2 linked regions of the Oryzias latipes genome follow. The protein of the gene in region 1 interacts with the protein of each later gene in a pairwise test. Links are inferred from orthologs where the notes say so. Each region holds a gene or a part of one and is shown on either strand. Other genes may lie near its edges.

What was found. The genes of interacting proteins can lie anywhere in the genome.
Region 2: the proteins of agtrap (region 1) and uncharacterized protein LOC101171023 interact in binary tests that used the Homo sapiens proteins (3 or more experiments, as listed by UniProt). The two-hybrid records come from large-scale screens. The link is inferred for Oryzias latipes from reciprocal best matches to the Homo sapiens genes AGTRAP and PIMREG.

The regions. Positions count from the first base shown.
Region 1 is NC_019863.2:32,256,302-32,259,518, reverse strand, and holds the end of agtrap (type-1 angiotensin II receptor-associated protein), read left to right. Parts: intron 1-793; exon of another isoform or gene 794-936; intron 937-2,098; coding exon 2,099-2,226; 3' UTR 2,227-2,579; downstream 2,580-3,217. UniProt on the Homo sapiens protein: Appears to be a negative regulator of type-1 angiotensin II receptor-mediated signaling by regulating receptor internalization as well as mechanism of receptor desensitization such as phosphorylation.
Region 2 is NC_019872.2:12,647,413-12,650,453, forward strand, and holds the end of uncharacterized protein LOC101171023, read right to left. Parts: intron 2,792-3,041; coding exon of another isoform or gene 2,761-2,791; exon of another isoform or gene 2,753-2,760; intron 1,549-2,752; coding exon 1,434-1,548; 3' UTR 595-1,433; downstream 1-594. UniProt on the Homo sapiens protein: During mitosis, may play a role in the control of metaphase-to-anaphase transition.

The DNA.
Region 1 (3,217 bases):
GCAAACAAAACATGTAGTGATATTCATGGAAATCTAACGGTGCACGTTCATGTTTGGTGTTACAGAGTGAAGGAGAACAGTAACAACCCCCCCCCCCCAACACAAAATCCTCCGGCGGGCGTCTATGTCGCGCACTCAAGAACGCACCCAGCTTGTAATGGAAATGAATACAATGGAAATTAATGATTAGAACGCAGTAAATTTGTCGTATTTCCTCGCGAGAAGGAAATTTCTGTTGTAGAATGAGGATGTGTGTGCTGCTGAAACCTCATGTGTGTGTGTGTGTGTGTGTGTGTGTGTGTGTGTGTGAGTAGAGTGAGCGCGTGCAGCGTAGAGGGAGTGAAGGAAAACAGAAATGAAAGGTTCCCCCCAGAAACCCTTGAAGTCTGAACACAGGACTAGAAAAAGTAAATTATCAGCAAAGATGAACGTGTTTAATTATAGTTCCAATCATCATATGCAGAACTTTCAGAAAAAAAATAATAAAAACTTTCAAATTAAAAAAAGGTGCTGTGATGAGGTCATCACCGCGGTGATGAGGTTATCGTCACACCCCTACCTGAGACCTTTGTAGACGCCAACAGCAATGCAAACGCAGCAGCTTAGTTTGGTCAGAATGTGGTGAAAAGTCCGTCTTCTGCCTGTCAGGTGAGCTTTCCTGCGGCTCCTGCGTTTGCCTTGTCGTCTGTTTTCCATGTCTTTGTTTGGCTGTCATGCTGTTTCCTGTGTTTCTGCACGTTTTGATGGTTTGTTTCTGTTCTTTCTCCTCCACCGCTTTCCCTCGAACCCTCAGATTTAGAGACCTCAGTGGACAGTCGCTGCACTACGGACAGTGCCGACAGTGCCTTTTTTGGCCGCCGTTATTGATCGCCGGCTTCCCCCTTTCTATCAGTTCCCTCCCCGGGTCGTCCTCTTCGGTCCTGCTTCAGCCCGGAAGTAAGCTTTGTGATCAGACTGCAGGACAAACGGGAGAAAGATGCTTTTCTTTCCCTTCTGTCGTGTTGAAGTTCTGATCCATCCCTTCTGTGAATGTTCTGGCTGAGCTGCACCAACAGAGGTTCTCCTCTGTAGAGAGTCTGTGTTGGGACTGCATGTTGGCACCAGGGGGGCTGCAGCACTAAATGAGCTGCTGAGCTGAGACGGCCGTCCTGCCGTCATGCGGCGTCGGCTCATTCGGGAGCACGACGTGGTTTAAAGAAGCAAAACCAACATTTCGTTTCCGTGAGGCCCTTCTCACCTGTCCTCATTACCGTTTTAGGCTCTCTGTTGGTGTTTATGTCTGCAAGTATTACTGATATTTTATTCAGAGATGGTCTCCAGACGCCTCATTTGTGTTCGTGTGTTGTGTGTTTTTGGGTTTCCTTGTATGTACGACTCTGAAATGAGCCTAATTAAAATCCAAATAAGGTTGGCTCATAATTGAAAGTTAATGGGAAGCAGTTGCATGCGCATAAATGACTCAGAAACCCTTCAAACATGCAGCATTCATATTCTGAGCAGAGTCTCAGGTGTTCATGCAGCTCTGGAACGTCCGCCACAAAAACAGAGTTTATTAGAAGGAGCTGCATTTCCAGAAGAAACAGCAGGGTTGATGCTATACTGCTGAATGAAAATGAAACTTAAAGAATAACATTTGTCAAAAAACAAAAAAAGAGTAAATAAATAAATGATCAAAGTTGATCATAAATAAAGTGAAAACAGCACAATAACAAAAAAATATTTGTGAAAAATGCCAGAGCCGGGTATCGAACCAGCGAGCTTCTGCTCCAAGGATTCCCCTTTATTTCAATGGAGGCAGAAATCCTGGAATATCTGGAAAAGTTCAAGGATTTGAAGGAGCAAAAATCACAGCTGGAAAAAGATGAAATAGCTGAACATTTGAATAGTTGAATGGTTAAAATAGATGAAAAATTGTAGAAAGATACTAGAATAAAGAAAGAGAAGTCTGTGGGAGGAAGTGGAATTAAAAATGATGAAACTCTAGCAAAAATGTTTCTAGATTTCAGCAAAAAGCCGGAGTCCAAAGACCAGATTGTTTGAATGAGGGTAATATTTCCAAATAACGCCTTTTCGCTGCCTTGTTGCTGCTTCCCTGCAGGTTTTCCCTCGGTATCACGGAACAGAGAAGCCTATCAGTCCATCGACCAGCAGGACGAGTCGTCCAGCCCACCAAACCCCTTCAACCAGGCCCAGGACACCACCCGACCAGGAGTCCGCACGTACTGAGCGCCGCCGGACGCCAACCGCGCAGCCTTCTCTCTGACTTTATATGCAGCGACGGGCGACGAATGTGTGCAAAACCCCACAAATCCTTCTGGTGAATAAATACTTGGGGTGAACTCTTCATCTTCCAGTGAATGTCGTGTTTTCAGGAGGAAATCTGAACCTCCTGCTGCTCGTCTGCTGTTACCAACGCGATTCCAGTCAAGCTGTCAAGTAGATTATTTTTTACGTGGCATTTACAGACGGTTACAGACAGTTCTGTGAGTTATAGTCGTACCTTTTTGCAGTATTTTATGACTATTTTGCAGAAACTCTTTGCTTTAACAAACTGAAATAAATGTTTGACCGAAAACTCAGCGTTTGGGGTTTGAATCCTTGGACCAGAACGGAAACACTTCAGTAATGTTGATGCTGCACAAACACATCTGCCGCTCTGCACATCCCAACACAGAAACACTCCATTTCCCAGCGTGCTTAGCGTCTCAGCGAATAACTCATCCGTTTTTCTCAATGGAGCCGTTTGACAACATTTACGGCTTTTATTCTGTGAAACCTGGAGATTCCTGCTTTTCGTTTTGGTTTTTCTTTCTTTTATTATTTTTCAAAACAAATGTTTATATTTTGAGTAAATGATTTGGCTTAGATATTCTTTATTTACTACATTTTTGACATTTCTCTCTTTCCAAAACTCCGACATGACGGCGGTTTTTGATAATGTAACCTTTAAACCTTTATGAAGATCATTTAGGATTTGATCTAGTTTGAATTTAGCAGTTTTTAGGATGTTTGCAGCTCTCATTATTCTGTTGGTTTAAAACATTTTTGACATTTTAAAAAAAATCATATTTTAGCCTTTTTTAAACCAAATTTGAGTGTAAATTATCTTCACCTTTTTAGAGTTTTTTTTTAAGGCAGATGTAGAATTCAGTTTGTAGGTTTAAAGGTTTATGAACTGCTTCTTCTTTGTAAATGTCCTGTCAATCAAACTTTTCAG
Region 2 (3,041 bases), on another chromosome or scaffold:
ATTTATTCAAATACTAAGATGAAAATTCCACAGTTGAACTTTGAAACCAGTCAAGTAGGGGCAAATATTCCCTTTAGTTTAGGAAATTATGGACAGATTTGGTCAAGTTTTAATAGTCATTTTTTTCTCCATTCCTCTTTTTATTAAAATGTTTTGTTCTTTTATTTATTTATAAATAAAACTGTTGTCTTTATGAATGAAAGCCTTTGGATAAATATAGCATTACTTTACTGATTCTTTCTTCACATAGCGTAAAATAACGGGAAAAAAGGTATCAAACCATCAATTTAAAGGTTTAAGTTAATGATTCCTAAAATGGTGAAATCATTTCATCAAATTTAGTTTAGACGATACCAAAACAATTCTCAATTACAACAAATATGTTCTAGGCTCCATAAATGCTTGCAAAAAGAAGAAACCATTCTTAAGTAAATTCTTAACACTACAAATGAAGATCTTTTGCACACATTATTCACAAGTCTTCATCATAAATTGCAATTATATTGAGAAAAAAAAATACTCCAGCATTCTCCAGTGTTATTCTTGCATGAAAAGAAAGAGTATGTGTACCTTTATTAAAAACATAAAGCAAAATTCATTGAATTCTATGTGATTTATTCAGTTAGTACTGCAATCAATTCAAATGTTAGAACGTTTGACGAAAGAACAAAAGCATTTATATATACATAAATGTTTCTCAGGGGTGTACAACCTTTGTTTTGTAGAAATTTGAAGATCAGTTTTTCCATTTTTGCAGCGATTACAAATGAATAAAAAATGTGGGTCATTAGGCATCAAACTGACTTAAAGTTTTTAATCTGATAAATCATGATTTTTCTCACAGTTTAAAGGGAAAAAAAATCATCAACCTTATCTGCAACAATAAAAAAAAGTTGAACAAGGAAAACAAAAATCCCACTCTTAAAGAATATAAAAGTAATAATTTGGTTTTATTGAATGCACATTTGAAAAAATGTCAGTAGCATTATTGTTTATATAAAGTAAAAGACACAGCTTTTGTTAGTAAATCTAGTGTTGGAAGTGCAGATACTGGTTTGGTAATGGATAATGGGCAGCAGCTCATGTTAAAAAGTAAGATAACAATATTAGTAACAAAAGAATACAAAAATATTCCATTTTAGTAACAGCTAGACAAACACACTATCAAATATAACAATCCCTTAGGTAGCTAGAGAAGATATTTATCCTGCTTTAGGTAATATCTGGTGAGTGTAAAAAACGAATCCAACAGTTTGGATGAAATAGAATATAAAATGCCACTAAACAGTCTCCCAGTAACATGATAAACCAACATGTAACACTAACAAGACAAACTTTAAAAGCTTGGCTAAGAAAGATCTCAGGTGAAACATACATGTGCTTCTATAGTTCAGTTGGATTTGCGAATCGTGTTTACGGCTGTTTGAGCCCAGCTACCCGCGGCGTCCGAGAGGTTTGAGGCTCGGCGTGAGACGTTCGAGCGGCTGAGTTTCCCGCTGGGGTCCAACTTCCTCATCAGCTCCTCCGGAGCGTTTCTTCAGAGCAGGCCTGCAAAGGCAACAGCGGTTGGAGCAAGAGCACAAACGGGTAACACAAAACTGTAAAGGCCCCGCACAACCCAGGATGAGCATAAACAGATATCCGAGGGTTGTTCATCAAGAAACACATAAAGGAAATGAAACTAACAGAATCAAAAACATCTTTTTTAGTTTATTTCTTTAAGAAGTAAATACAGTATTTTAGTTGAACTGTCTGGGATCTGATGAAAAATACCAAGATTTTAAAAATCAACTTGTATGAACATTAGAGAACAGAAAACATGCTCTACAAAATTGCCTGATAGAAAGTCGAGTCTCTGTTGTTGGTCAGGGATAGTCATGTGTTCAGTGGAACTAACCATTCCTTGAGTTAAGGAGGATATAAAGCATTTATTCAAAAGAAGAAAAAACAATGATTTTTGCTCTGTGCAGAATGTAAGGTCCCATAGATCCTGGAATATAATCCTCTCTAAATACTCTATAAGCATCTTTTGCAAATGGCTTTTTCTTGTTGTTCTATTGTAATACCGGTAATCCCTTCACAAACAAGATTTAGGAGAATTATTGGAATAAAAAAAGAAAAGCTCCCTTGTCTGCACAAATGAGTAACTTGCCCATAAAGGTCCACTACGATCCGTTTTTGATGTCAAAAATGTTTCTGATGGTCTTTCAATCATGATTATGCAGTTTTTAGTCAAAATAAAAAACCCTGTGTCGTTTTCTATGGCACAGTTTCCGTGGAGGGGCAGAAGTTCATAAAAAAATTGCCTCCGAGTTGTGGGTGGAGCAAACCCCGCCCTCTTTCCCCAGCGTATTTTCTATGTCACAAATGCATTCCTTATTCAGGCAGTGCTCTTTTTGCCTGCTCCTAACTTACAATGTTTTTGAATAAAGAAATACTAATAAATGCAATTTTGAGCTTAATTTTCTTCATATACATGTCCTCTGTTTTCAGAAAAATACCACAAAACAGGTTAAAACCAGAACGTTCACTGGAATGGGTCTATAAGAGCATCACTCATCAACACAGAGGGTAGAGCAGCATTTCTGAATTGTAACATCAAACAACACTGACAATAGAAAAAACAATGCAGGTTATCAAACAAAGGAAACTCTTTAGTTTTGTGTTGAAAGCAGACTGGAAGTGGATGCAAGTTAACTGCCATGCACAGTCATGCAGTAAAATGAGTAAAACGCATCTCTCCATGTTTTACCTTCCACACTAGTCCACAATTAGGGGACACTTCAACTGCCTGTAGAGAAACAAACGTGTTTTACTTCTAATGAGATGTTTCACAGGATGGAGGACAGCAGCAAAGCTGCAAGACTGAACAGACAAGACACAAGGTCACCGTTCACATTTATGTTTATTTTTTTTAACTCTACATCTGATTCTCTATGGACTGGATGAGCATTTCTAATGTCAACACAGGAAATAATGGAAAAGGAAGAAGAAAAAAAAACAATTTCCTCTCACATCTGTATTTGCGTCCGCCTGCCCTC